2 linked regions of the Canis lupus familiaris genome follow. The protein of the gene in region 1 purifies or fractionates together with the protein of each later gene. This does not show direct contact. Links are inferred from orthologs where the notes say so. Each region holds a gene or a part of one and is shown on either strand. Other genes may lie near its edges.

The links.
Region 2: the proteins of NLRP3 (region 1) and USP50 purify together in Homo sapiens (affinity purification with western blotting; 3 studies listed by BioGRID). This does not show direct contact. The link is inferred for Canis lupus familiaris from reciprocal best matches to the Homo sapiens genes NLRP3 and USP50.

The regions. Positions count from the first base shown.
Region 1 is NC_049229.1:377,580-393,408, reverse strand, and holds the end of NLRP3 (NACHT, LRR and PYD domains-containing protein 3), read right to left. Parts: intron 8,555-15,829; coding exon 8,384-8,554; intron 7,924-8,383; coding exon 7,753-7,923; intron 4,743-7,752; coding exon 4,553-4,742; 3' UTR 4,107-4,552; downstream 1-4,106. UniProt on the Homo sapiens protein: Sensor component of the NLRP3 inflammasome, which mediates inflammasome activation in response to defects in membrane integrity, leading to secretion of inflammatory cytokines IL1B and IL18 and pyroptosis.
Region 2 is NC_049251.1:16,733,826-16,750,085, forward strand, and holds the start of USP50 (inactive ubiquitin carboxyl-terminal hydrolase 50), read right to left. Parts: upstream 10,878-16,260; 5' UTR 10,710-10,877; coding exon 10,657-10,709; intron 9,466-10,656; coding exon 9,271-9,465; intron 8,993-9,270; coding exon 8,797-8,992; intron 6,179-8,796; coding exon 5,969-6,178; intron 4,891-5,968; coding exon 4,748-4,890; intron 521-4,747; coding exon 388-520; intron 1-387. UniProt on the Homo sapiens protein: Deubiquitinating enzyme that removes conjugated ubiquitin from specific proteins to regulate different cellular processes. Regulates the inflammasome signaling pathway by deubiquitinating 'Lys-63'-linked polyubiquitination of the PYCARD/ASC adapter protein.

The sequences.
Region 1 (15,829 bases):
GGGTACAAATGCAGGGAAATGGCAAGACGCCTGCACCCCGATGTTTATAGCAGCAATGTCCACAATAGCCAAACTGTGGAAGGAGCCTCGAAAGACAAATGGATAAAGAAGCTGCGGTCTATATATACAGTGGAAAATTACTCAGCCATTAGAAAAGGAAATCTTGGGCAGCCCAGGTGGCTCAGTAGTTTAGCGTCACCTTCAGCTCAGGGCATGATCCTGGAGACCCAAGATCGAGTCCCATGTCCGGCTCCCTGCATGGAGCCTGCTTCTCCCTCTGCCTGTGTCTCTGCCTCTCTCTCTCTCTCTCTGTCTCTCATAAATAAATAAATAAATAAATAAATAAATAAATAAATAAATCTTTAAAAAAGAAGAAGAAAAGGAAATATTGGCATATACAATGACATGAATGAAGCTAGAGTCCAATAAGTCCATCAGAGGAAGACAACATCTGATTTTACTCATGGAATTTAAGAAATGAAACAGATGAACATATGGAGGGAAAAGAACAAAGCATAAAACAGACTGTTAACTTTGGAGAACAAACTGAGGGTTGATGGATGTCAGTGAGCAAGAGGGTGAGCTTAATGGGTGATGGGCTTTAAGGAGGGCACTTGTCATAAGCACTGGGTTTTGTATGTTTAGCAGCACTAAATTCTACTCCTGAAACTAATATTACAAGGCATGTTCACTAACAGAAATTTAAATAAAAACTTGAAATGAAAAATTTAAAAAAAAGAAAAATAAAACAATAAAATCAAAATTATTGAAAAAAAAAAAAAAAAAAAACCAGTGTCTTTATCACTCCTGGAAGTTATTTGTATGAGAAATAGTGTTCCTGCAAGTATGGCAATTCGTCAAAGCCAGGTTCCTGGACTAGACCATCCTTTCTTCATCATTTTCAGTGCCACAGATTGCGTTTCCATGCATTTCTACACCTGCACATGAACTCTATCCTGCCTCTAATATGTAGACCAATTATAGCACCAGAATATGTGGTGAAGCAGATCCTACTAGGTTGTCAAAATTTCCCTCAATACTCTGCCCCACTATTTCCCAGATACATTTTCAAAATCATCTTGCTCAATTCTATTAAAATCCCCGTTAGTATGTTAATTGCAATTGCACTGCATTTTTGTCGATGCAAAGGCAGTGGAGCTCGGAACCTTCCCATCCATGAATAGTTCTCCATTCATTTAGGTCTCTTTTGTATAACTTTTGTACAGTTTTTGATATATTTATTCCAGGTATCTGATAGTTTTTATTGCTATAATTAATAGGATTTTATTACATTTTAAATTGCAGGAGCTTAGGAGTGCTATTAAGCATTTTTAATTTTATTGTTTTATTATGTTTAATTAGGAAATAATGCCATATGTACAGAAAAGATACAAGAATAAGAATGATAAGGGTGCCTGGGGGGTTCACTTGGGTGACAGGATGACTCTTGATTTGACTCGGGTCATGATCTCAGGGTTGTGTGCTGGGCTTTGTGCTCTGCACACAGCCTAAGTGAGATTCTCTCTCCCTCCCCCCACTCTCCTGAGTTCTGTCTCTCAAATAAATAAATCTAAAAAAAAAAGAATATGAATAGCATATAGTGCAATCCCATAACCACCCCCCTTCCCCTCCCAAGAATTACCTGTTATCAATACTGACATGGATGTTCTTTTTTTATATATATAAATTTATTTTTTATTGTTGTTCAATTTGCCAACATATAGAATAACACCCAGTGCTCATCCCGTCAAGTGCCTGTCACCCATTCACCCCCACCCCCCACCCTCCTCCCCTTCCACCACCCCTAGTTCATTTCCCAGAGTTAGGAGTCTTCATATTCTGTCTCCCTTTCTGATATTTCCTACCCATTTCTTCTCCCTTCCCTTCTATTCCTTTTCACTATTATTTATATTCCCCAAATGAATGAGAACATATAATGTTTGTCCTTCTCCGATTGACTTACTTCACTCAGCATAATACCCTCCAGTTCCATCCACGTCGAAGCAAATGGTGGGTATTTGTCGTTTCTAATGGCTGAGGAATATTCCATTGTATACATAAACCACATCTTCTTTATCCATTCATCTTTCAATGGACACCGAGGCTCCTTCCACATTGCTGCTATAAACATCGGGGTGCAGGTGTCCCGGCGTTTCATTGCATCTGTATCTTTGGGGTAAATCCCCAACAGTGCAATTGTTGAGTCTTAGGGCAGGTCTATTTTTAACTCTTTGAGGAACCTCCACGCAGTTTTCCAGAGTGGCTGCACCAGTTCACATTCCCACCAACAGTGTAAGAGGGTTCCCTTTTCTCCACATCCTCTCCAACATTTGTGGTTTCCTGCCTTGTTAATTTGCCCCATTCTCACTGGTGTGAGGTGGTATCTCATTGTGGTTTTGATTTGTATTTCCCTGATGGCAAGTGATGTGGATCTCATGACATGGATGTTCTTGAAGATGACAGTCCCCTCTTCAGATAGAATTCCTCTTTTCAATTGTACTGCCTCATCTGGAATTGGTGCAGTGTTTCCCAATGACAAGGTTCTGCATATACATCCTGTGCTGCAATTATTCACCTTCTCAAGTCATCTCACCAGAAAGGAAACATCCATTTGCCTCCATTGATACCTTTTATGAGATGGTTAGGATGCTATCTAATTTCTGTTCTTTACATAGTTAATATTTTTCTTTCACAACTGATTAGCCAACTGTGGAGACTCCCCAAATATGTAAGTACCTGCTCTTCTTTCACATCCTTTTAGCGTTTAGGACTCATCCATTTGCTTCATACTTGATACAATCTTTACTATGATAGTTGGAAAGAATTATTTTTTTTCCAGTTTCATGCTGTTGATGTTTGTATATTAATCTTCTATCCAACAACTTTACTTATTTTTTTAGTTCTACTGGTGTAGGAAGCCTCATGGATTTCTTCCAAATTAATAGTCATATTGTAGCATTTTTATTTATCCAGATATTCCTCTGGGTGAGTGATTGGTAAACTCTCAATTCAGTTTTAAGTTCCTGGTGTCCAGAAGTTTTTCTCTTTCCAGAATAACTGTGTTTTAATTACATTTTACCCTGTCAGTCAATGCGTGTGTGGCAGGGAGACAGTGTGTAATAGTTCACTTCACCAAGATGCAGAAAACAAAAATCTAGATCAGAGTTACTCCCAAACGCTGGTCCTAGACAAGAAAAAAAGCTTGCAACAAAATATAAATCACACACTGTTTCCTTTATTGAGGCATTCTTACCAAGAAAAAAAATCAGCTTATCTAAAAAGCATGCTTAGTAATGTGATTGATCTACATCCTTGCGCCAAGTTTCTTATATCAACAGTTGGCAGGCAGTGCTTTGAGCAGCAGAACTCTGGATGCCTCATTTAACGAGGAAACAGTGTTTCCATCCTGAACAATCCCATGTGGTTCAAGAGTTGTCCCATGCATAGAAAAGCAATTAATCAATATGAAGTATGGCAGATGAACTGCTCCTGAAGTCAGATAAACCCAAGATAAACTCTTACAATTGAAGGTAAAATGCATTTTCTACATAATACCTCTATTTATTAGTATAGGCTCCATGTACTCTAAAACCTTCTTTTGCATGATTTTCAATTTTCTATCCCAGCAGAGCTGCAATTTCAACCACTAGAGTCAGGGTAAGATGATTTTTTTTTCTTCGTCTATTACTATTACTATTAAATCATTTGGCAAAGAGATTTTTTTATTTATTTTTTTAGGATTATCTTTTTTTATTTTTATAAATTTATTTTTTATTGGTGTTCAATTTGCCAACATATAGAATAACACCCAGTGCTCATCCCGTCAAGTGCGCCCCTCAGTGCCTGTCACCCATTCACCCCCACCCCCTGCCCTCCTCCCCTCCCACCACCCCTAGTTCGTTTCCCAGAGTTAGGAGACTTTCCTGTTCTGTCTCCCTTTCTGATATTTCCCACTCATTTTTTTAAATGCATAAAGCAATTTAATTTATCTACAGTAGTTTATAGTAAAAAATATTTCTAGCCAACTTCTTTTAAAATTAAGGGGAAAAAACTATTTAAATCAATAAATACCAAAAGGGCTTATATTTTCTGAATTTTCAACTATCTACAATAAACATGAATTCTTTTATTAGAAAATAAAACTGTTACAAAAACCAAAAATAAATAAGTCATTGTCACAAAATTGCAACATAATATATAGTTTACTTGTTCTGTTATAGTCAGTTAAGGGAAAGATAGTAGGAGTGGTGATGGGTGAAAGTGAACAGAACAAAGATAGGTAAAAAAGATATGAGGGAAAGGAGATTTAGAGAGAGTAAGAAGCGAAAAAGAAACAGAAAAAGTGCTTTATTAAATGAGTTAGTTACATGAGGTCACCAAAAGGAACATATCTGACTAAGGTTCTATACTGAGAACCACCTCATTTGGATGATGTGATTGTCCTGTGTCTTCAAACCGGGACAAAGGGGGTGCTCACATTCTCTGTACAAAGGCACCATCAGCAGGATTTGGCATCCCACCCTGGACCAGGGGAGTCGTCGAGAGATGGTGTTCACCCTGGATGGAGGAGTGCTCGCTCCCACTTGTGGACACCTAGATGGCAGGGAGCCCAAACGCTGGCATCTGGCAGCCTGCTTCTGTCACTACCAAAAGGCTCAAAGACAATGGTCAGCTCAGGCTTTTCTTCTTGAAGTGTTTCTAATGCACATTTTGTATCATAATTGAAATACATTTCACACAACCTGCAAGAGGAAATAAAGAGCCTTGCATTATGTTCTTGGAAGAACACTCTCAGAGTGTTTGCCTTAAAAATCTCATCTCCTTACTTCCCTTAACCTAACACATTCCTAAACTCTCCAATGCTATAATTCATGCCTCATGTTTTCCGGTTATATTTTTAACCTTCAAGTTTGGAAATGTTTAAATATATGTACATTCACAGAGAATAGTAATGAACCCCTAGGCCTGTTACCCAGACTTGACAATTAATAACTCATGGCCAATCTTGTTTCATCTCTCACCCACCTACTCCTCACATCAGTGGATTATTACAAACACAACATTGCATGCATCTGTAAATATTTCACTATATGACACTAAATGAACGCTTTTTAAAAACACAACCACAATTCCATTATCACACTTTAAAAAGTTAACAGTGATTCTTTAATATCAACATATATGTCTAATCAGTGTTTAAATTTCCTCAACTGGCTGATACACTTTTTATATTATGTTCATTTAATCAGCAGCCATGTAAGTTCACACACTGCAAATTATTTGGTATGTCCCTCAAATCTTCTTTGATACACAATTTCTTCCCTATTGTCTCTCTCTCTCTCTTTTTTTTTAAGTTTCCCTTACAACTTAGCTAAGAAATCATTCCATTTGTCCTGCATCATTTCTAACAATCTTGATTTGCTTGTGTGACGGACTGATTGTGTTTCTCCAAAATTCATACATCAAAGCCCTAATCCTCCATGTGATGGTATTTGGAAAGAAGCCTTTGAAATAAATTAAGGTTAGATGAGCGGGGGTGGGTCATCATGATGGGATCAGTCCCCTATGATAAGAGAAGCCACAGCACACACTCTGTCTCCCTGTCCTTGTCTCTGTCTCTCTCTGCCATGTAGGGACACAGGGAGAAGGCAGCCATCTGCAAGCCTGGAAGAAAGCTCTCCCCAGAATCTGAATCTCTTGGCACTGTGATCTTAGACATTCCGTATTGAAAACTGTGAGAAATGAATGTGTGTTGAGCTGATAAGACATGTTGACTGCATAGAGGTTCCTCAGTCTAGTTGAAGCCTGTCCCTCATCTCCAGAGAGTCCTTCAGGACTGGGTGAGCAATTCCACATACAGAAATGTCCCAGCTTCATCCTGGCCTATCCTTCCCTTTGTCCCTCTATTTTCTTAGCTCTGAGAATTTTGGCTTTTCCTGCAGCACGTGTGCTCCACTGTGTCTGCTTAATGATGCAATGCCGATGCATACTTCTGCTTAAGCGAACCTGCATTTCAGTTGGTTCTCAGCCTTGAGGTCATGAACTAGAAGTCCCAGGACTAATAGAATTTATATTATTTGAGTAAGATATAGATAATAAATAAACAAGAAAATGATATTGCATGTCTGTACAATGGTGATCAACACTATGGAAGAAAATAAGCAAAGAAAAGGGGATGAGGATATGCTGGACTGCTGTTTTCAGTAGGATGATCAGAGACAGATATCTAGAAGACCTTTCAGCAGAGAATTTAAAGACACATGGGAACAAGACACCAATGTCAAAGGGGAGAGAGGTCCAGCAGAGGGAACAGGAAGTGCAAAGTTCTGGGGGTGACAGTAATTTTGCAAAACTACAAGGAGATCAGTATAAGTGGAGCAGAAGGAACATGAATTAGGAGAAAATGAATTTGCAAAAGAAGCAGGGGCCAGATCACAGGGGGCCGTGCGCACTGCCATGAGTTTGTGCAATTTGCTTTAAATGTGACAGGAAGTCACTAGACCATTTTGGTAGGAATGATATGATTACTTGTTCATGTTTTAGCTGCACCCTCCATCTGCCATGGTAATAATAATAAGAGATGCAGAATGCCACCAGAATATTCCAGACAAGAGGGCAAATGGCTCGAACCAGGGTAGGAGTCACAAAACTGGCAAGAAGAGGTCAATAACAGGTATGTTATGAAACCTATCAGGGCACGTCAATGAGTTGGACGTGTGCATAACAAAAAAGAGGTGTCAAAGATGACACAGGTTTTCTTTTTTCTTTTTTTTTTTTTTTTCCTTTTTTTTTTTTTAGCTTGAGAAATTCACAGTGAGTAACCATTGACTGAGATGGGGACAAAGCAGTTTTTTGGCAGAAGGGGTAATGCGGTTTGGATTTGGACATGTAAAGTTTAGAAGGTTTATTAGACATACAAACAGAAAGGTCAGATTAGCACTTGGACATGGAATTCGTGCAGGTATAAGTTGGGTAGCACAACATATATATGGTAAAGCCAGAAGACTAGATGATGTCCACATGGGATGAAGTATAGAGAAGAAAAATTAGCCCAATGATGGAATCCTGAGGATTCAGCATGTGCAGGTCAGGAGGATAAAGAGAATCCACAAAGGAGACTGAGCAGAAACAGCAAATGAAGTGGAAGAAATCCACTGTGAAAAGGTGTGACCCCCTAACACTAAGTGAGGGGAGTGTCTTCTGTGGAGAATGTGATCATCAGGGCTGACAAACGTACAGGACTCATTAGGAAGCTCTTACTGGAGAGGTAATGAATATCTGGTGGTATCACTAATAATAAAACCCAACACAATGCACATAAGCTGGTTCATGGAACTTCTAAACTTCATGTTTCTGGAACTCTCTTTTCCCACTTAGAAATCCTCAGAACACCCCACTGTGCAAAGACCTTTGTGATTAAGATGAACCACGGATGCTCTTGTTCTCAAAGTACATATGGTCACTTAAAGAGCCATATAGCCCTAGTCCTCCACTTTCATTGGGACTTGTGTTTTTTGGGGAACATGAATGGAAACTTTTCACACCCAACTGAATGTTAATTATTCTGACTGTCCAGATAAAGTTAAATATTGGTTCATAACTCATATACCCTATAAAAAAAAGTCTGGGACAACAGGCTCAGGCTCAATCTCAGTCTGAGTACAGATGAAACCATCTGGGGTTTTGATAACTGATCAACTTGTCCTTGGGACTCTGAATGCTGCCACGTGAGTCTGTGCAGAGCACACTTACTTCAGGCTTTGTAGGATGCAGCCCTGTTGTTTTAGCACTTCGCAGAGCAGCATGACCCCTAGATCTCCCAGGTCATTGCTGCCCAGGCTTAGCTCCCGGAGGCTCTTGCTGGAGGTCAGAAGCGTGGACAGATCCCAGCAACAGTGTGAGGTGAGGCTACAGCCATCCAATCTGCAAGGAAGAGGGTGATTTAGAAAAAATGCCCTGTTCACCATCCCCCCAACTCCACAAGCTCTCAGCTTGCAATGTTTCAAATGCACAAAAAGCGCAGGATTAACTAACTTGGAATAACTTTTTGTGCCCATGGTTATTTTTCTCCCCTTTTTCAGATGAAAGTATTTTTTCCAGTCTACTAGATTGTGAAGATCAAATTAGTAATTGTGAATTGATTTTTGCCAAATTCTATGCCTCTCTTCAAGTTTCCCTAAAACACAGTGCCAATCACCCTATTCTTTTGTGGTGAGGGAAATCCAGTATTTACAAGAAGTAGAGGTCCTCTCAGTCTCAGGATCCTGAAATAAGCTGAACCTCAAGAGGACACCATCACTTCTCAGATACAAATCATCCCATTATCATCCCCCCACCTTAGCCACCATGCATCCCCAACATTGTAATTAGCTATGAGACCTACTCTAATATCTGAAGCTTGCAGTTGGGGTGCAAGAGGCCCTCACAGAGTAGCTTCACCCCTGTGTCTCCAAGAGCATTGCCCCGTAGGTAAAGGTGTGTGAGCTTCTGGTTAGTGCTGAGCATGGAGGCCAGAGCTGGACAGCAACCTGGTGTGAGGCCAGAATTCACCAACCTGGAGAAGGAACAAGAACAAGCCTTCAATGTTCAGCCTTCCTTGAACATGGTTCAGCTATCTTGCCACAGGAATCTCATCTTATCTAAAAAGGTGCATCCTTGCGTCACCTGGGGGCTCAGGTTGTGATCCTGGGGTTCTGGGATCAAGCCCTGAGTCAGGTTCTCTGTTCAGTGGGGAGTCTGCATCTCCCTCTGTCTTCCTGCACTGCCCACTGGTGCTCTCTCTCACTCACTCTTTCTCTCTCTCAAATAAATGAAATCTTTAAAAAAAAAAAAAAAAAAGCTGCATCCTTCAACTTCAAGGTCAGGAGCCAGCATCTTGCATACAATCTGAGGAGAGCATGACTCTGCCTGTGGACCAATAAGAGAGACAAGTAATGGTCACAGCAGATGTCTTGCTGGGATCATTAGAAGAGACAGAGCAAAAGCAAACTGATCCAGATTCCTTCCACATTCTTCTTCTTTCTTACACATATTCCCTCTCCTATGCATGCTCCTTACCACCACATCTTAATACCAAAAAAAAAAAAAAAAAAAAAAAAAAAAAATCCCAGATTATCCTACACTGTTAATTCCAATAACAATGCAGGCACTTGCCTTATTTGATTCTCACACTAACTGAGCGAGGTGGCAGTGCAGCTGTAACTATTATATATCTTTTACAGATTACACATCTGAGGTTATTAAATCATATGTTTCTCTTAAGGTCAAAGAGCAAGTGTTTAGTGGAGAGGGGACTTGGACTTAAGCCTTATAGGGTCTTTGCTCCTCTGTGTCCCTTCTATCCATATCACTCTTCCTTCTTCACTAGAAGGGGTCTCTTGGAGCAGAGATCTAGATTTGCATTACACTCATTAATTACACTCAGGGATTAAGATGTTTGGTGTGCTGCACTTGGGTCAAAGTGAATATATCCTATCACCCAACAGGAGCATGATTCTCTGAGGTAGAGCTGCATCATTCTAGCATAGAAGCTCAGAAGGTGGTACACATACACAGAAAGCCACATATGCTAGACCTTCAACAAAACTTTGACTTAACAACATCTCATGCAATCAAATTCTTTCTGCCAGAATCCTTAACAATGTTATGTTTTTAAGCTCTAAGATGTTTTAGAATCAGGAAAAAAAGACACATAGAAAGTAGTACCAGCAGGTGATCAAAAGAAAGCAGAAGTACTTATCTACACAGTGCTTTCCATCTCCCCAGTCAAGGATGAATCATAATTAAAAAAAAAAAAAAGAATAAGCAAGACAAAGAGGAGAATAAAGCCCAAGATGGATGAGTTTAAAAAAAAAAACAAAAACAAAAACAAAAAAAACAAGGCAAGTTTTAAAGGGCTTCTAGTAATAACTTTATTTCCAGCTAGGAACAATTTCATCAGGTGGTCCTTAATTAGGATACAGAAGGTATTTGCAAGATTATCAGCGTTATGAACCAAACATTTGTGTCCTCTCAAAATCATGTTGAAATCTTAATACTTATTGTGATGGTAGGCAGGTGCAGCCTTTGAGAGGTAATCAGATCTTGAACATAGAGTATTCATTATGGAATTAGGGCCATGATAAAACAGACCCTAGAGAGTTCCCTTTCCCCTACTGCCATGTGCTGACACAATAAGATGGGTGTCTGAAAGCCAGGAAGAGAATTCTCACCAGGAACCAGATGATCTATGGACACCTTGATCTTCAGCTTTCCACCTCCAGAACTGTGAGACATAACTGTTTGTTGTTTGAGTCACTCAGACTATGGTACTTTTGTTACAGCAGCCTGAACAGACTAAGACACCAGCAAAGATAAAGATCATTCCAGAAGACTGAACATGTCATTCAAAAGGAAAGGAAAAAATATTTTGCAGGATACAAAATGGAAACCTCTGCCATCATTTCCATAAAAGGACTGGAAATGATTATGAAACAAGTATTTGAGGAACAGTGCACCATGAAATGCAGCAGTTACAAGCACAAGGTGGTTTTGTTAAGAATAAGTCACATCTGAATTATCAAAATGTTAATAACCATTGAGACTGAGTGATGGATGCATGGGGTGCATGATGAAATATTTAGGCAATCAAACAACCACTTGATTAGAGGGCTGTAACCATCATTTCTCTTGGTCTCAACCAATCCATTCGACTCAGTTCTACATTCACTGAGCACAGATATCTTGCCATGTACTCTATTGTCAAATTATTATGTTTTTTAAATGTACTGATATACTTTACATTATAAAAATGTGTCACAAAAGAAAACTGAGGAAGAATATTTAACATTTTTTAAGTGTTTACTATATGCTTGGCTGAAATAATGACTTTAAGTAAGATTATCTCATAGATTTACTATAAAACCAAGATGGAGCTGTTGTTTTGTTTTGATTTTTTAATTTTATTTTTCAGCTTAAAGTGTCCTTTAATAAGTGAAAATATTGTTCATAAAATTCCCTAATGCTAATTCCTTTTTTATTTAATTTAAATTCAATTAGCCAATATATATGCAGGATTGTTTTCATCCTTATTTTTAAATGGAAAAGCTGAGACTCAAGGAAATTACTTGAAAAATAAGAAGGAGCTTCCTAGATGGACTGTGAGGATGGGAGAGTATTTTGCATACCAAGCAAAAAGAAAGTGATAAGCAAGGGAAGGAAGGATGAAAGAGGTCAACTTTTTAGAACTAAGACTTATTCAATATGACTTAAAATGGAGTAAAGGGTATGGCAAAAGCAATGATCTAGAGCTGATCAGGGACAGCTCTGTGTAATATGCTAAGACACAGCAAGTACACTCTGACTTCAAAGAACTTTTGAAGTTTTTTAAGAAACACCTCAATATTACCAAGTCTACACTTTATTATTTTTAAAAGACTTTATCTATTCATGAGAGACAAAGAAAGAGAGGCAGGCATTAGAAATGACAAATACCCACCATTTGCTTCAACGTGGATGGAACTGGAGGGTATTATGCTGAGTGAAATAAGTCAATCGGAGAAGGACAAACATTATATGGTCTCATTCATTTGGGGAATATAAATAATAGTGAAAGGGAATAGAGGGGAAGGGAGAAGAAATGGGTAGGAAATATCAGAAAGGGAGACAGAACATGAAGACTCCTAACTCTGGGAAACGAACTAGGGGTGGTGGAAGGGGAGGAGGGCGGGAGGTGGGAGTGACTGGGTGGTGGGCACTGAGGGGGGCACTTGACGGGATGAGCAGTGGGTGTTATTCTGTATGTTGGCAAATTGAACACCAATAAAAAATAAATTTATTATTAAAAAAAAAGAAAGAGAGGCAGGGACATAGGCAAAGGGAGAAGCAGGCTCCCTGCAGGGAGCCTGAGGTAGGACTTAATCCTAGGACCCAGGAATCATGGCCTGAGCCAAAGGCAGACACTCAACCACTGAGCCACACAAGAATCCCTCAAATCAACATTTTAGAAAACTCCTCTGGTGTTGTGTAAAAGAAAGAAGGGGGTAGAGGGAACTGAAAGTAAAGAAAACCTAATATTTTCCTGTTTACTGGCTAATCAGCCCCCTGGAAAGTCCCACTGTTCAACAAGGCAGTAAAGAAAGGATAAGAAGGGAACAAAAGATGAGGGTGGGCAGCACCCTTTAATTCTTTTAATTCAGCACCCTTTAATTCCTACAAGAATTAAAGAATTTTGCAAATGCCCACCATGTGGCATTTATGTAATATTGGTGTGGGAGGAGAGTGGTGCAAAATGCCACCAGAGATAAAGACCTAAATTCAAGACATTTAGCCATATTTAGCAAAATGTAAAATACCTAAAAGTGTTATCTCATTAATTATGCTTGTAGGTATCTACCTCAAAAGAAAGAAAGAATTTTATGCACACATAAATAAAGTTATATATATACTTTGTTTTTTCATACTTACTTATAATTGTAAAAAAGAACTTCATCCAAAGATTTATCATTCAATGAGAACCTAAATAAAATACTATAATGCATACTATGTAATATTAAATCCAAATATGTAGATCTGTATATACCAGCATGGCAACAAATTCATAATAAATTTAAGAAGAAATCATAAGAAAGACTCCACCAAAAAAAAATGTGAGAATTGATAAACAAATTTAGTAAAGTCACAGTATACAAAATCAATGTATGGAAATCCATTGCATTTCTGTACCCTAACATTGAAGTAGCAGAAAAAGAAATCAAGGAATCGGTCCCACTTATAATTGCACCAAAACCAATTAGATACCTAGGAATAAACCTAACCAAAAAAGGTAAAAGATCTGTACTCTGAAAACTATAGAACATATACAAAAGAAATTGAGAGGACACAAAGAAATAGGGTAGAAATTCTATGCTCATGGACCAGAAGAACAAACATTGTTTAAAATATCTATACTACCCAAAGCTATCTACACATTTAATGCAATCCCTATCAAAATACCACCAGCATTTTTCACAGAGCTAGAGCAAACAATCCTAAAATTTGTATGGAACCACAAAAGACAATGAATAACAAAGCAATCCTGAAAAAGAAAACAAAAAAAATGAAAATAAAATAAAATAAAATATAATAAAATATAATGGGATGATGGTTCTTCCACTTCTTCTACCTAAAAGGCATCTGGGTTTGGTGTGTACACACTGTAAATTGACATGAGTATGTATATGTGTGTCTGCATTTTAGTGCGCCCCTTCTCTCATCTATAGACGTAACAATAAAACACTAAAGAAAGTGCCTGAGAAAAATAAAACAAACTTCTGGGGGGAATCAAATTATATTTGGTAAAAAGGAAAATTTATGGGTTTTTGTTTGTTTGTTTTACACTGTGTACTTTTTATAGAGCTAAATATATTTTGTTACTTCAGGTCCATAAAATTCTTTATGTATTTTTTAGTGTGCTCATAACATTTTGATGTATACTTAAAAATATCTAAAGACTTAGGAATGTTAAAAAAATAAAATTTTCAATTAAAAAAAAAACAAAAACAGAATGGTCCTAGCATAAAAACAGACACCTAGGTCAATGGAACACAATCAAGAGCCCAGATATAAAGTCATGTATATATGGTCAACTAACACTTAGCAAGGAAGCCAAGATTACTCGGGAATAAAAAGACAGTTTCTTCAATAAATGTTATTTGGAAAACTAGATATTAACATGTAAAAAAAAAAAAGAAAGCTATATACCATTCAAAAAAATTAACTCAAAATGAACTAAAGATGTAAATATAAGACCTGAAACCATAAAACACCTAGAAGAAAACACAAGGGGAAAAAGCTCCTTGATGTAAGTCTTAGGAATTTTTTTTAATATGATGTCAGATGCACAGGCAACAAAATAAAAAACAAACAAGTTGGACTCCAACGAACTATAAAGCTTCTGCACAGGGACTCCTGGGTGAGTCAGTAGTTGCACGTCTGCCTTTGGCTCAGGTCGTGATCCTGGACTTCCTGCATGGAGCCTGCATGGAGCCCTCTGCCTATGTCTCTGCCTCTCTCCTTGTGTCTCTCATGAATAAATAAATAAAATATTTTTTTTAAAAAAAGAAACTTCTGCACAGCAAGGGAAGTGATCAACAAAATGAAAAGGCAATCTACAAAATGTAGAATAAACTGTGAATGATATATCTGATAAGAGGTTAATATCTAAAACATGTAAACATTAAAAATATCAACATCATTAATCATTAGTGAAAGGCAAATCACAAATACCATGAGATTGCCACCTCACTTCTGCTAAAATGACTATCATAACAGAGACAGAAGATAACAAATGCTGGGAGGATATGAAATAAAGGAAGTCCTTTTGCATTGCTGGTGGGAATGAAAATTGGTACAATCAGTGGAAACCAATGTGGAGGCCAAAAATTAAAAATACAACTACCATGATTTACTAATTTCTCAAATGAAATCTGTATATAAAAGAGGTACCTGCACCCCATGTTCATTGCAGTATTATCTACAACAGCCAAAACAAGGAAACAATGTAATTGTCCATCAAAAGATGAATGGATAAGGAAGATATGATTATGCATGCAATTGAACACTACTCAACCATAAAGAAGAAAGAAATTCTGCAATTTGCTACAAGATGGATGGACCTTGGGGGACACTACACAGAGTGAAACTAGTCATGATCTCTCTTATATATAAAATTGTAAAAAAAAAAATTAAAACTCAAACCAAACTTACATAAAAAGAGATTAGATTTGTGATTATCAGATGTGTGGGGAAATGATGAAGGTGGTGGAAGGGACAAATTCTATTTATAAATAAGTGCTGGACCTGTAATGTATAACATGATGACTATAGTTAATACTGCTGTATGATATCTTTCAAAGTTACTAAGAAAGTAAATCCTAAACGTTCTCTTGACAAGGGAAAAAACATATTTTTGTAACTAAATGAGGTGATGGATGCTAACCTAACTCATTATGATGATCCTTTCATAATATAGGTACATCAAGTTATTATTTTTTAGACCATAAACTCATACACTGCTGTGTGTCAGTGGTAGCTCAATAAAGCTGGAGGAAAATAAATGAGTATTGTTTAGATAACCCTTTTGTGGTCCTTTGTTACATCAGCCCTAGAAAACCAATTCACAGGGTGTATTAAGATGGGTGGTGGATGGACAGACAGACAGGTAAATGTTAATGCATAGTAAAATGTCTGGAAGCTTTGCTCATCAGCTCCTCGTAAATGGTTCTCTCAGAAGTGGGCCGAGTAAGAACTTTTGCTTCTTACTTCATGCATTTATATTATTTGATATTTACACACTAAGCATGTCTTATTTTTGTAATAAAAGACCCACATGCAGAACTTCCAGTTTCAGTCCAGCATGTAGAAAGCTGAGAACCCACCACTCATCTTAACAGCAAGTTAAAAGCTGAATGAGCTACTAAACAACTCATCCTTAGGTCCACAAGAGAGATGTGGTCACAGGGTAATCTGCTTCTCCCAAAATTGGAGAGACAGAAGGGAACCATAACTGCCTGGATCAGAGCCCCACAAGCTGAAACCACCATGGGAATCAGTACACAGATAAGGAAGCCTGACTACAATTGATAAATCATTGGATGTTGGGTATAGACAAGTCTGAGAGATAAAAACACCAGAGGAACCCAGTCATAGGGGAGTCCCCTTACTTCTCTAAGTTTTATCTCTAGGGGCTCAACCATATTCTTGCAGTATCAGAGAAAAATCACTTTGTGCTTCATGAGGAGGGGAGAGAAGACCACTTTAAAATATCACCAGTTGCTCTGCTTTTCTTAATAAAGCTAATTCTTAATGAGAA
Region 2 (16,260 bases), on another chromosome or scaffold:
GGCTTTGGCCATAGAGTGGCTCATGAACATACAACATAAAGCTGGGACTGTCCTGTACAGAGTATCTGAGGGCTTTGGCCATAGAGTGGCTCATGAACATACAACACAAAGCTATTGACACTAATTTCTGCTGTTTCTGTGGCCCACTTTGCAAATGCTCCCAGATCTGATAGAGCCAATGAGTAAGGAGGCAGTGGATAGGACATTTTATTTTTCTATTATTCTACTGTTTGAAGTCAACACGGAAAGTTCCAGACTATATATTTTGCTTTAAAAAGAAGAATATAGGAGAAGTGAGGGAAAGATGAGACTAGGCATTCAAAGTATATAATGCTACAGTTTTCTTTAAACTTGTGCTATTTTAAATAGTTTTAGTATTTTACTCACCACCACTGCACAGAGGTTGTATTTAGGGTGTTTCCGAAAAACTGGACAAATATAAGGAGTAAGGTCTAAGTTGGTGAGTGGGTAGTGAATATCTGTTCTCAGTTTCCTTTTCATTGTACCCAGAATGTCAAATCTGGAGAGAGAATAAATGTACGAAACATAAAGTAAGTTTGTAAACCATTCATGAATGAAGTCTACATACCTTGGTAAATTCCAATATAGTTAAAAATAATTTCTTGGAAAAATAATTTGGCACAGACCTGTACATAAATTTTTTTCTTATCTATGTGTATTTATAATCTCCACATCCACATGTGTCAGCTGAACTGAGACTGGTTATGCCAGAGGTGTGAGTCAGGAGGTGAGACAGTACAAAGTCAATCCAGGGAGAGGAGAAGATGGGGACAAAGCCAGGTTTGGCATCAAGGAGTAGAAAACACATTGATTGACTCAGCTTTTCCTTATCTTGACTTTAGCATGTGTCGTCTCAGCAGTGTCTCATTTTCCAACTCTCAGGTTTTTATATATCTTTAAAAAGATAAAATTTTCCAAAAATCTTGTCCCATTCTCTATTTGTTTAGATCAACAATTCCAAAATCTGAATTCCTATCAGAATCACCCTGGAGCTTTTTAAAAAATAAATTATGATGGTGCCTGGGTGGCTCAGTTAGGCACCCAACTCTTGGATTTCTGCTCAGATGGTGATCTCAGGGTCAGGAGATCAAGCCCTACATTGGGCTCTGAGCTGGGCATGGAACCTGTGTAAGATTCTCGATCTCTCCCTCTGCTCCTCTCGTCCCCCTCTAAATAAATAAATTAAGTAAAAAAGTCCATTTTCGAAAAATGGCTGAATGGCTGATTTAGGTCTGGGGCAGGGAAATTACTGTGTGAACCTGAGATATCCTCATGCTTTCAGCAAGACACCTTGTTTGCAAAAACTAAGGGAGTACCTACTATCTGACCCAACAATCCTGTGCCTACATATCATAGCAGAAGAAATGAAGATTTATACCCACATAAAAACCTATATTCTAATGTTTATAGCAGCTGAATTCATATCCGCCACAAATTGGAATCAACCCAAATATTCATCAACTCATGAATGGATAAACAATTGTGGTATAAGGAGTGCCTGGCTGGCTCAGTTGGTAATCCATGCAACCTCTGATGCCAGGGTCATGAGTTCAAGCCTCACAATGGGTGTGGAGCCTACTTAATTAAAAAAAAAAAAAAAAACACCCATAAGAGTGGTATATTCATGAAAGGGAATACTACATAGCAATAAAAAGGAAAGAACCACTAACTCACTAACAACATGAATTAATTTCAGAAACACTATGCTAAGTGAAAGAAGCCAAACTAAAAACAAAACAAAACAAAAAAAAAACTGCACATGGCATACATAACATAGGATATTCTGGGAAAGGCAGAACTATAAAGACAGGAAATCAGATCAAACCTTTCCAGGGACTGAGTGTGGGAGAAGAGGTGGATTATGAGAAAGCATGAGAAAACTTTTTGGGGTGATGGACAGAGTTCTATGTTGGCTCTGCTGGCTACATGACCATGCATTTGTCAAAAATTCATAGGACTACACACTTAAAAAAAAGTATACATTTTATACTTACAATTATACTTTAATAAGTCTGCATTAACTAACTAATGAGCTCAGAGAAGCAGGCTTAAAGGGGTTCCCACTGGCCAATTTTGAGCAATTTAAGCATAAAGAAGGATGATGATAGTAATGGATTTTAGGCACATTAATTTTTAAAATATCCATGAGTTCGGGCACCTGGGTGGCTCAGTGGTTGAGCATCATTGGCTCAGGTCATGATCCTGGGGTCCTGGGATTGAGTCCTGAATAAGGTTCCTCACAGGGAGCCTGCGTCTCTCTCTGCCTCTGTCTCTGCCTCTCTGTCTCTCATGAATAAATAAATATTTTTTTTAAAAATCCAGATTCATGTTAATTACAGAGGGGAAACTATACTTATAAATGGTGGGGGGATCCCTGGGTGGTGCAGCGGTTTGGCGCCTGCCTTTGGCCCAGGGCGCGATCCTGGAGACCCAGGATCGAATCCCACATCGGGCTCCCGGTGCATGGAGCCTGCTTCTCCCTCTGCCTGTGTCTCTGCCTCTCTCTCTCTCTATCATAAATAAACAAAAAAATTTAAAAATAAATAAATAAATAAATAAATAAATAAATAAATAAATAAATAAATGGTGGGATCTTCTAGTCACTATCTTAACTATGGCATCAAACTTAACATCACCAAGAGTGGGACAAACTTTTATGATGTGCCTCCTGATATAATGTGTGTGACAAATACAGAACATCACCTAGTCTGCATTTCCACTAAAAAAAAAGTTTATCCTGAATCTCACCATGGGGAAGCAATTAGATAAATACAGAATGGGGCATATAATATAAACAATGGACTCCCCAAGGACTTTTTTAAAAAGATTTTATTTACTCATGAAAGAGAGAGAGAGAGGCAGAGACACAGGCAGAGGGAGAAGCAGGCTCCATGCCGGGAGCCCGATGCGGGACTTGATCCTGGGACTGCAGGACCATGCCCCGGGCCAAAGGCAGGCGCTGAACCGCTGAGCCACCCAGGGATCCCCACCAAGGACTTTTTTAATGAGAAAAAAAAAGTTTAAATATATAAAAAGGTGGAAGGATTATCCTAGATTAAGAGACTAAAGAAACAGCCAGGAGCACCTGGCTGACTCTGTTGGTTAAGTGTCTGCCTTCAGCTCAGGTCATGATCCCAGAGTCCTGGGATCAAGCCCCACATAGGGCTCCCTGCTGAGTAGGGAACCTGCTTCTCCCTCTCCCTCTGCCCCTGCTTGTGCTCTTTCTCTCAAATAAATAAAATCTTTAGAAAAAATAAAGAGACAGCCACGTGCAGTATATGACCCTGGACTGGATGCTGGATTAGAAGTTACAAAAGGCATTTTGGAGATGAAAAATTTAGATATAGATTGTATGTTAGGTGATGGGAAATCACTGTTACATTTCTTGAGCATGATAATGGTGTTGTGATTATTTCAAAGAATGTCCTTGTTCTCAGGTGATATGCGCTGAAGTACTTAAGCAGGAAATGCCATGGTGTTTGCTTCTTATTTCAGAATTCAGCTAATAAAACGGAAGGGATGAAGGAAAGAAGAGGGAGGAGGAAGGGAGGAGGAAGGAAGGAAGGAAGGAAGGAAGGAAGGAAGGAAGGAAGGAAGGAAGGAAGGAAGGAAGGAAGGAGAAAAGAAAGAAAAGAGGAAATGGGGCAATGTTACCAATATTAATGAAGATCCTAGGGCATATTCATTATATATTCTTAGAATTTTTCTGTAGATTTGAAACTTTTTATAATAAAAATGAGGTGGAATTAAAAAATTAAAATCATGATGTTTAGAATCAACCTCAGACCTGTGGAATAAGAATTCCCAAAGGTGAGGCCAGGGAATTTATTTTTTTAAAAGTCCTCATTGTAAAAAAAAAAAAAAAGTCCTCATTGTGAGTGCCAAATGTCTATCAACAGACAAGCAAAATATGATGCAGACACAATGGGATATTATTCAGCTATAGAAAGAAATGAACTTCCAGTACATACCACAACATGGATGAACCTTGAAAACATATTCTAAGTGAAATAGGTCAGCAAAAAGGACATTGTATGATTCCATGTACATGAAGTACCTAGAACAGGCGAGTTTATAGGCACAGAAAGCAGAATTGTTGAATCACTATATTGTACACCTGAACCTAATCTAACACTGTTAGAGTTCAATAAAAAGGTTAAAAGCATGGATTTTATGTTACCTGTGTTTTATCACAAATTTTTAAAAACTAATGTAATATACTGAATTCCATTGAAGTGTACACTGTACTTTTATGTCTTTCCTTTAGAGAGAGCATGTGCACAAGCAGCAGGGGCAGAAGGAGAGGGAGAGAGACTCTCAAGCAGACTCCTCAGTGAGCTCAGAGCCCGAAACAAGAGCTCAGTCTCACAATCCTGACATCAAGACCTGAGTGGAAACCAAGAATCGGACGCTTACCCAACTGAGTCACCCCGGCGCCCCTGAATTGTACACTTTAAATGGGTTAATTGCACGATCTGTGAATTATATCTCAAGAAAGCCATTAAAAAAATCTCAGGGGATCCCTGGGTGGCGCAGTGGTTTGGCGCCTGCCTTTGGCCCAGGGTGCGATCCTGGAGACCCGGGATCGAATCCCACGTCGGGCTCCCGGTGCATGGAGCCTGCTTCTCCCTCTGCATGTGTCTCTGCCTCTCTCTCTCTCTCTCTGTGACTATCATAATTAAATAAAAAATTAAAAAAAAATCTCAGAAAACATCAAAATCCATACCTTTTTAAATGAAAGATAATTATTTTTGGTGCTTTGGAAATACTGGCCCTTACAGCTGTTTCTTGCTTGGTTTCACAGAAAGAACAGTGAATTTGGTTATTCCAGGTCAGTGTGTCTTGTTGAAAAAAACACTGGAGACAGTCCTATGGAGGTAAAAAAGCATTTGGTGACTACTCTGGATCAACTGCAGCCCAGCCTGTTTACAGTAGCACTTTGCAACAGCTGTGGAAATGTGATCTTCAGTGCTTTCCCCAAAGTCAACACATCCAGGAGGCCCTGTGTCACGAGCTGTTGCCTGGACAGGTTTAAAACCTACCTGACAAAAGGAGGTGCGTCTCTCTCACTTAGTTACTGAAATGGATCCAAGTGCCCATCTCACTTCCAATCTCTGGATCAGCATTTTAACATTTCTGGTTTATTTCAGAATAATACTGACTGTGCAGTTTCGACTAACCAAGTCAGGCAGCTGTCTTAGGTTATTTGTCTCATCAGAAAAGTGATCCAAAAACTGAAAATGACCGTGTCCCGTGTTTTGAGGTGACCCAAAATGAAGACGGCAGAACAGAACTTGATCCCATGCCCCCAGAAGCCATCCTGAATGTAGCCAGCCCCCCACTCTGCAAACCATTAACCTGAAGAGAAAGATGAGAGCAGACTGTGTTTCAGTACACATGCCAGTGCCTCATTTAGTGTCTTTGGATTTTGTTTCCAATCATCTTCAGCAATTCCATCTGAGAATTAAGCCTACTTCTACATAAGTAGTAGGATTCTGTTCTCCAATTCTGGTATGGGAAAACTTATAGCAGCAGATGTGTCTTCACAATTTAGTTAGAAAAATATAAATATGTATTATTCTTCAAGGATACGTATTGCTCCCTGCCTTCTAGCTGTCCCCTGCCTTCTACTGCTACCTGGATTTACAGATTAATTTTTGGTATTATGGTGAGGAAAATTCAAGAGGTAAATTCCCTGTATGTACCAGGCCATCTTAAATAGAATGAACAAATCCCACCAGTCATTTCAATTTTACAGTGAGGCTGTTTTAATGATTACATTTAGAAATACAACTGAATTCACAGTAACTTTTGACTATACGTTGCTTTTCTACAAAATATAGTCATCATGGGCTTCCAATTTGTTTTAAGTTATAGAGCAGCCCCCCTCATAATAGACAATGTAGGAAGCAGCCCTGAGATGGTATCCAGGAGCAAGAATCCCTACCTGAAGAGAGCACTCATATTCGGATGGAATGGGGAGAGAGAGGACGGTGAAGACTTCATTCTTGTAAGTACAGTTCTCACACTTCAAACACATGATGCTGTAGTTGAGCTGCCCTTCAAACAGCTGTGTGATGATGGAGGACTCACTGGCAATCACCTTCCTGCAGCATCTGAGAACAGATCCTTTTTCGTGTGATCTTTTTCGATGGTACTGAATCAAGGAACAAATTGGCCCCGAATCAACTATTGGTTATCAAAAGAAAGCTTTTAACAGAATGACTTGATTTTTTTTTCGATCAGAATGATACACTGCTACCAGAAACCAATTAATTTTGGATTCAGACAATACATAGGTAAGATCTTCTTAAGTGTACATGTTATGTGGGGCAACTGGGTGGCTCAGTCAGTTGAGTGTTGGGCTCTTGATTTCCGCTCAGGTCATGATCCCAGGGCTTTGAAATCGAGCCCCGTGTGGAGCTCCAGTGAGGCTCCCCAGCCAGCCTTGCATAGAGCTCTGAGCCCATCAGGGAGTCAGCTTAAGATTCTCTGCCCTCCTTGTGCTCTCTCTCTAAATAAGTAAATCCCTTTTTAAGAAAAGTATATATTAGGATTGATTTCTGATAATTCAGTTATTTTCCTCCTTAAGCAAAGCTGAGGAATGATGACACACTAAGGCTGGTAAAACACATGTCCGTGCCCAGAAGCAGAGAGCTTATGATCATATGATACAGGGTCCTAGAGACAGTTCTTCTTGGGAAGAGGACAAGTAAGCTTTTGAACTAGCTTTCAGTCATGCAAACTGATGGAGGAGATAAATGAAATCTGTCCTCCCTCCAGCCCCTTCAGATTTAGCATCTTCTACTTCTATTGTTAGAAAACACTTTTTGGGGGCACCTCAGTGGCTCAGTGGTTGGGCGTCTGCCTTTGACTCGGGTTGTGGTCCCGGGGTCCTGGGATTGAGTCCCACATTGGGCTCCCCGCAGGGAGCCTGCTTCTCCCTCTGCCTATGTCTCTGCCCTCTCTGTGTATCTCTCATGAATAAATAAATAAAATCTTTAAAAAAAAACTTCTTTAAAAGAGCAAACCTTAAATTGCTAAGGCAGCTCAATTTAGCCTTGTAGCCTGATTTGATCTAGCTCATATTGAGGAATACCCTTTCTGGGAGCAGTTTGGTGCTTTTCAGTGGTTGAACGGCCTCACTAGACATTCAAAAGACAGCTCCACAGACAGCTCCACTTTGGAGCTGTGCTCACTGCTACCCTTAGCCTTGCTTCTTTCGTCATGCCCTACTACCGAGGTTTTCCACCTGATGGTAACTTGATGGCCCTAATGCCAACTTTAGTCTTGGGAATGAGAATGCTGTTTATTTCAGATTGGGTGCATATGAAGACCTAAGTGATTTTACTGGCCACCACCCTAACTTCCGGCTTAAAAAAAAAAAGTGCTGCCATGAATATCTTTCTATCAGTAAAAATGAAAAATGGAATCACAGGAATGGAAAATGAAATCTGAGGATCAGGGATGAGAGTCATCAATGCCTCTCATCTGCATCATTTACTGAAATATTTCCTGATGGTAAGTATAAGGTAAGCTAACGTCAGCACAGCGACACTACATAAAACCACGCATCTCTTTTTGGTGAGTATGTGTCTCAGATCAAGACTGAAGGCAACGAGTCTTACAAAGAAAAGTAACACCTTCCTAAATGGCAATCTCATGTTTTATTAAGTGTTATGTCCTGATCCAGTGAAGAACTCAAGTTCAGAATGTTTAGCACAAAGATGAAACTTCGCAGTATTGAGGTCTGTCCTTTAACCCGGAGCTTCCTATTTTCTTGGGTCTGTAGTTGCCATGAACATGTATTTTAGGTTGTAAAGTTCTATATGTTATTATCTCATGAGGAGTATATTTTTATTTAAAAATATGTGATTATCACTTAAAAAACAACTAGTCTGTGCAGATGTTATTTGCAAAGGGAACAGATTAGTGTTTCCCACGCCTGTTGATCACTGAAACACCACGTGAGCTTTCCCAAGGGACAGCCCAGGACATTCTAGTTCAGTAACACGGGAGTGAGGGTCTTAGAATTAGTGTTGTAAAACTCTTCTCGGGTGATTCTGAAGATGAGCTAAGCTTGGTAAATACAGACCAATTCAAATAGTGACTTGAGGGACACCTGGGTGGCTCAGCGGTTGAGTGTTTGCCTTCAGCCCAGGGCATGACCCTGGAGTCTCGGGATCGAGTCGTGCATCGGACTCCCTGCATGGAGCCTGCTTCTCCCTCTGCTCATGAATAAATAAATAAAATCTTTATAACAAAAACAAATAGTGACTTGAATGTGCCCTGCACAGAGTGGGCAATACTAACAGAACAGATGAAAGAATGAAAAGTAAAAGTTGGGGCAGCCCTGGTGGCTCCGTAGTTTAGCACCGCCTTCTGCCTAGGGCCTGATCCTGGAGACCCGAGATCGAGTCCCACGTCGGGCTCCTTGCATGGAGCCTGCTTCTCCCTCTGCCTCTGACTCTCTCTCGAATAAATAAATAAAATCTTTAAAAAAAAAAAAGAAGAAGGAAGAAAGAAAGAAAGGAAGAAAGGAAGGAAGGAAGGAAGGAAGGAAGGAAGGAAGGAAGGAAGGAAGGAAGGAAGGAAGGAAAGGAAGAAAGAAAAGAAAGAAAAAAGGAAAGGAAAGGAAAGGAAAGGAAAGGAAAGGAAAGGAAAGGAAAGGAAAAGAAAAGAAAGAAAAGAAAAGAAAAGAAAAGAAAAAAAAGAAAAAAAGTTGCTGACAGAGCCGAAGGTCTATCTTATTTCAAGGCCATTAATCCTACTCACTTTTTTCAGAGCTTCATGAAGTTCATTCAGGACATAAATCAAGAATTCCTGAGCATCCTGTTGTGTCTTTTTCATAAACGCTGGGTAGAGGCTGCCAAGAGCTGACCGAAATACTTCTGGGGAGACACATTCTGAGTCTCCAAGCCACATGTCTGTCATCACATAGGCGAAAGCAGTGGCCACCTCACGGCAATCCCTTGGAAGAGGGGCAGAGAATGTTTCCGGCCGACTTCACCGAAAGGAAGGCACCTCCAAGCTGGGGCAGGTGGCAGCACACCAAAACCCACGCCCGTCTGTCGGCCGAGCTCCCCGCGGGGTTCTTCACTCTGGAAGTGGCGCCCGGGGCTCTGGGGCTCTCGCTGGGCCTGAGCGGGGGCTCGAGAGGGCTCCCTCCCGAAGCTCACCTGGGAGGTCGGGGCGGGGGTGGGGGGCTAGGCAGTGGGGGCTGGGCCGCAGGGAACACAGCGGCCTTACCTTTGAAGAGCCGTGATGTACTTCCCGGAGACGAAGTACTCCACCAGCGGCGAAACGCTGCACAGACACTGCAAGATGGCGTTCATGTAGCACGTGTTGCCCAGGTTGCGCAGGCCCGTCACCCCCTGGCGGCGCGGCGGGCTCGCACGCAGCTCGGCCAGCGCAGGGGCGTCTGGGGGATCCGTGCACTCTGCGCTGCGCAGGCGCGGCGGGCCAAGAAGGGAAAGCGTTCTGAGGGGCCCGCCGAGGGCCGAGGGCGCCCGCCCGCCCGCCCGCCCCGGGCCTGACCCGCACGACTTATTCCCGAACTCCGAATGGCGCCTGCGGCCCACTAAGCAGAAGTCAAAGTTTCTTCCCGAAACCACAGTAAGGGGACTGAGAATACTGGCCTTGCAGAGACCTAGAATCGCATTGGCTAAACATGCGAACTTTCCCTCAGAGTTCCAAAGTTTTAGGCACCTGGGTGGCTCAGTCGGTCAAGTATCCGACCCTTGATGTCGACTCAGGTCACCCTTTGGGGTCGTGAGATGAATATAGACGCGTGGATACACATGTATATAGCCGTCTGTTGGAGGCTGGTGGTCACTTCCAACACACTTTAACACCACCACGTCTTAGTTCATTCCTTCCACATTTTATATTCCCTTTTTTTTTTTTTTTTTTTGGTTTGGTTTTGTTTATTTATTTTGGGTGAGAGCATGTGCCAGAGTAGAGGGAGGGGCCGAGGGGCAGAGAGAGAGAGAATCTTCCAGCAGCTTCCTGGCTGAGTGTGAAGCTTGGGCAAAGCTCCATCTCACATCCCCATTTAATTCTTTCAACAAGGGACACCTGAGTGACTCGGTGGTTGAGCGGCTGCCTTTGGCTCAGGTTGTGATCCCGGGGTCCTAGGATCGAGGCCTGCGTGAGGCTCCCTGCAAGGAGCCTGCTTCTCCCTCTGCCTATGTCTCTGCCTCTCTCTCTCTGTCTCTCATGAATAAATAAATTAAATCTTAAAATAATTCTTTCAACAATTCTATGGGGTAGGTATAATTATTTTTAAATTTCGTTTTACAGAGGAACTATTACATTTAAATGGTTTTATTGTTTGCCTATTATATATATATAATATGTACATATATATGTACAGTGGAATGTGGAGAGAAGGAATATCTACCTACGTACCTACCTACTGAGTTATTTGGATTTATATATCAGGTAATAACTAACAGTGTGTGTGTATACACACACACATATATATGGCATCTTCCCTTCTCTTTGGGGGACCCCCACTGGGTCAAACCTGAGGGAACCCTTCCAAATGTGGCATGTAACCCCCACTCCTTTGATATGGTATCCTCCACCGCCCAACTGAACTTCTTATGAAAGCTATAGTAGAGAGTGGCTCACAGGACGTAGTAGATGCTGAAGTCATCTGCAGGGAGGGGCCGCTGCGAAGTCATTTTAGTGAAACCACGTTGAACTTCTACTCAGGAGCTACATTTAATCCTTTTAACTTCATTTCTCAAAGCCTGTTACCTTAGCTCTTTTTGTTTGTAATAAACAATTTATATGGTTCTCTCCCCTTTCAGTAGCTGCAAACTGATTTTTAAATATACTTCAGGTACATTCCAACTTGGATTTCCCATGCATCATAATCATTTCCATTCATCCTCAAGATTCTAGCATGTTGCCATGAGATACCATAACTTGGCTGCTTAAAAACCATAAAAGTATTAGATTTCAGGGGTGCCTGGGTGGCTCAGTCATTTAAGTATCTGACTCTTGGTTTCAGCTCCGGTCATGATCTCAGGGTTGTGAGATCCAGCCCTGCATTGCTTGGACATGAGGCTGCTTAAGATTCTCTCTCTCCCTCTCCCTCTGTTCCTCTCCAACCCCCTTCTAAAAAAAAACATTAGATTTCACAGAATGAACTGAACATATAACCTCTCTTCCTCCTTCACTCAGTTTCTCTTGAATATAAATATGTATATATATCACATATATATTATACATATCACATATATATATCATATATATATGTGTGTGTGTGTGTGTGAATCACACACCTACACAGAATATTTACCTCCGCATAGTCCACTATGGCAACCCTGCCCCCTTTGGGCACCCATCCCCACTCCCAGGGACTATCCAACTCTTAGGATCCCAAGGGAATATTTCTCACTCCGGGATGGGAGGCAGTTGGATTTTGCTGCTTTGAAAAATGCATAGCATTGGAATAGACTGTAGTCTTTCTCTTCATGGTCACCAACTATAGTTCAAAGAGAGTGTAGACACACACACACACACACACACACACACCATTAGAGCCAATCCAATTTCTCTTTTCCCAGCTCTGCAGTAAGTAAAATAAACGAGGTTATAAAAGAAGAAACTCTTCAAAAATGTAAATATCAGGAAAGATAAAGAAGGCTGAGAATCATTTCAGATTAAAAGATAAACTGGAGGGGTGCCTGGGTGGTTCAGTTGACTGAGTATCTGGCTCAAGTCACTATCTCAGGGTCCTGAGATTGAGCCCTGCATCAGGCTCTATGCTGAGCGTGAAGCCTGCTTGAGATTCTCTCTTTCCCTCTCCCTCTGCCTCTCCCCATCCCACACTTGTGTGAACACTTGCATGCTCTCATTCTCTCCGTCTCTCAAGAAAAAAACAAACTGGAGAAACAAGACACTTAAAATACCCAATCCTGGCTAGGATCCTGGATCAGGAAAGAAATTGCTATAAAAGGACATTATTGGAACAATAGATAAAATCTGAATAGGATTATATGTGAATAGTTTTGTATCAATGTTGAATCTTCTGAATTTTATAAGATGATATCCTGTTTATGAAAGAAAATGTCCTTGTTCCTAGGAAATACACACTGAGGGATTTTAGGGATAAAGAGGCCTGATATGTGCAAACTGCTCTGAAATGGTTCAGAGAAACGCACAGAGACACAGATACACATGAGGAAAGGAGGGAAGGGGATAAAGTGACAAAGCAAAGATGAAGCAAATGCAGCCAGATGGCAGCAATGGGTGAATCTGGGTGATGGTAGACTGGAGCCCTTTGTACAATTCTTGCAATTCTTCTCTAAGTTTGAAATTATCTCAAACCAAAACTTTCAAAAAAACAAGAATGTAAAAAATATGATTTTAATATGGATTTATCTCCAAGATATATTACTGGTGAGCCAAAAAAGCAAGGTTCTGAAGAGTCCATCTACGGCGTGCACCCCGTTTATTTCCAAATGTATTTATGTTAATGTTCCACAAAAACATTAAGAAAGATCATTCTTTGATGCCTGTATGAGGGATCCTGGCAACTAGAGGTGCTAGTCTTACAGCTATTTTATATTTGTGGTCTATTTACAAAGGGGCTTCATGAAGTCCCCTCAGTGGTGATTCTGCTCAGTCAGTGAACTTCTCCCAAATACTTCAGTTCTTCTTCATCAGTAGAGTCTTGCTAAAATTTCATTTTATGATTGATGCTCATCAGTAAAAACAGGACTCATATTCATATGTTGATATTATATCCAGGGACCTTTCTAAACTCAAATTCTAATTTTTATAAAGATTCTTTGGATTTTCTACACACATTCAACTCATCTGCAAAAAAAAATCACTTATTATTTTCCTTTCCAATCCTTATGCTTTTTATTTCTTACCCTTTGAACTAGTTAGCACCTCCAGTAAAATGTTGAACAGAAGTGAGGATAGTAGTCTTCCTAGCTCATTCCTGAACTAAGAGGGAAAGCTTTGAATAATTCACCAGTAAGGTACACCTGGGTGGCTCAGTGGTTGAGCATCTCCCTTCAGCTCAGGGTGTGATCCTGGGGTCCTGGGATCCTGGGATTGAGTCCCACATCTGGCTCCCCACAGGGAGGCTGCTTCTCCCTCTGCCTGTGTCTCTGCCTCTCTCTGTGTGTCCCTCATGAATAAATAAATAAAATCTTTTTGTAAACAAAATTCTCCAGTAAGTATGATGTTTGCTAAAGGCATAGTTTTGTTGTTGTTGTTGTTGCTATTCTTGAGGGGGGAGGGGCAGAGAGAATGAAGGGGGGAGGGGCAGAGAGAGAAAGAATTTTAAGCAGGCTCCACACACATAGCACAGAGCCTGATGTGTAGGTTGAGATCACGACCTGAACGGAAAGCACAAGTTGAGGGGATCCCTGAGTGGCTCAGCGGTTTAGTGCCTGCCTTTGGCCCAGGGCGCGATCCTAGAGTCCCAGGATTGAGTCCCTCTCCAGCTCCCTGCATGGAGCCTGCTTCTCCCTCTGCCTAAGTCTCTGCCTCTCTCTCTCTCTCATAAATAAATAAATAAATAAATAATTAATTAATTAATTAAATAAAAAGAAATCACAGGGATCCCTGGGTGGCGCAGCGGTTTGGCGCCTGCCTTTGGCCCAGGGTGCGATCCTGGAGACCTGGGATCGAATCCCACGTTGGGCTCCTGGTGCATGGAGCCTGCTTCTCCCTCTGCCTGTGTCTCTGCCTCTCTCTCTCTCTCTCTCTCTCTGTGACTATCATAATTTTAAAAAAAAATTTAAAAAAAAAGAAATCACAAGTTGAACACTTAGCCGATTGAGCCACCCAGGGGCCCCTAAAGGCATAGTTTTTGTTCCTTGTGTTTCTTTTTTAAAGATCGTATTTATTTATTCATGAGAGACACAGAGAGAGAGAGAGGGGGAGAGAGGCAGACACACAGGCAGAGGGAGAAGCAGGCTCCATGCAAGGGGCCGGAGCCCGACGTGGGACTTGATCCTGGGTCTCCAGAATCACACCCTGGGCTGAAGGCAGCGCTAAACCACTGAGCCACCCAGGTTGCCCCAAACGGTGATTTTCTAATGCCATTATTTCACCTACGTTCATCAACTGGTAACCTATAAAGACAAGTTTTTTTCTTTTCCTTATTTGTTTATTCTTCGAATCAGTGTGGATTCATGAATTCCTACTTTATTTAATGGATTACAATGTTATCATCATTTATTTTTGATATAAAAATTGTCTCCAGATTAGCCAGCAGAGGGCTCTTCAAGATGTTTTCTGCGCCTGTTTGAATGTCTCCATCATTCCTTGAACACTTCCTTACTTTTGGCGCAGTAAGATCTTCTAGACATACCTGCCCCAGTCCTGAAGTTAGTCATTTCTCTAAGAGCCCTGGTTCCTTTTGGAGAATAGTATTTAGAAGCCGAGATCTAGAAGCTAGATGTACTCATGCTATTACAGTGTCACAGCTTCGTTATCTTCTGTATGTTTCCGTATCTGATCAACCCCCTGCTGCCCTCCTGCTGCCCCCGCTCCCCGCACACTCCATTACATTCCACACACCTCATGCTTATCCTCCTTCTCTGACACCTCACACCAGGTCATTGCTGCTCAGCAACAATCCAAGGCCCATCTAAATTGGTCTCAAATAATTAATGTCTTTTAAACCAAATTGTGAATGGATAAAGGAAGAAAGGAATCTGGTTATTTTTTTGCTTCTTTCGTTGGGATTACCTTTTAAAAACTCCCCTCCCCACAGACTTGTCTAGAAGCTGTACATCATTTTAATATTCTTGGATTGTTCCCTATAAATATTTCAACAAATATACAAGTAGCCCTTGTTATCTTAATCTATTTGGGTTCAAAGTTTGAATGGCAAGGGATATCATTATTATCCCAGCCTATTTGGTTTTTAAGCTCTAGATGGCTTATAATGACCTTGTGTGAAAATTTATTTAGTTCCTTGAGATCACATAGTGAGACAGGATAGAAAGGGTTACCCATAGGTAAAAGTACTTTTTGGTCAGTTAATATCTGTAACTTCACCCAAATAGATGAGACTATTAGTGTCCTTAAGTACCATCTTTCCCTGAATCGTCTTTTATTTTATTTACTTATTTTTTAATTTATTCATGAGAAACACACAGAGGCAGAGACATAGGCAGAGGGAGGAGCAGGTTTCCCACAGGGAGCCTGATGTGGGACTCGATCCCAGAATCCCAGGATCATGCCCTGAGCCAAAGGCAGACGCTCAGCCACTGAGCCACTGAGGCATCCCCTAAATCTTCTTCTAATATTTAAAAATGTTTTATTCTAGTTTACTTTTAAATTTTATACAACTTATATTTGCCAGAAAGTATTTTATGAATATTGCTTGCCGCTTTTATCTCAAGTCTTCCTATTTAGATCCTATCCTTCTTTTTGCTTGAGTATATCCTTGATTGACATTTTCCAAGAAAATGATGAACTTTCTGGGAATGACATCACATGGCTGGGTTCAAAGTCTTCCCTTTCTCCTAATAATGTTGCTTTCTTGCCTCGTGGATACGTGAGGACAGGTGAGAGTTCTTTTGTTAATCTGCTTTTTTTTTCCCTTTGTAAACTTTTTTTTTTTGTAAACTTATTTTTTGCTATGTATTTATAGAGTTACCAAACTGTGACATGAAGTACATACTTTATTTCCTCATTTCTAGGTCTTGCACCTGGAACTCCTACTAGATAGTTGTTGCATCTTTTTCATTAATCCAGAAAATATTTATTATGTATCTACTTCAAGTTAATCACTGTGTTAGATGCTTAATAGTGAATAAAATACAAATCTTTACCTTCGTATAGCTTTCAATCTATTGATCACTTGGATTTATTCTGTGCTTTCAACTCTTATTTTCCATTGTTTTGACTCCCTTACATGTGTTATGATTGAGCACTTATGATTACTTTATTTGAATTATCTTGATGTTTTAGCTTTACATTTGTGCTCAACGCTACTTTTTACATCCCTTTTTCTAATTTCATTCTTAGAGTGAATCTTTTATTTATTTATTTATTTTAGATTTTATTTATTTATCCATGAGAGACACACAGAGAGAGAGGCAGAGACAAAGGCAGAGGGAGAAGCAGGCTCCTTGCAGGGAGCCCAATGTGGGACTAGATCCTGAGACTCCAGGATCACGCCCTGAGCGGAAGGCAGATGCTCAACCACTGAGCCACCCGGGTGTCTTTCTTAAAGTGCATCTAAAAAGTGCC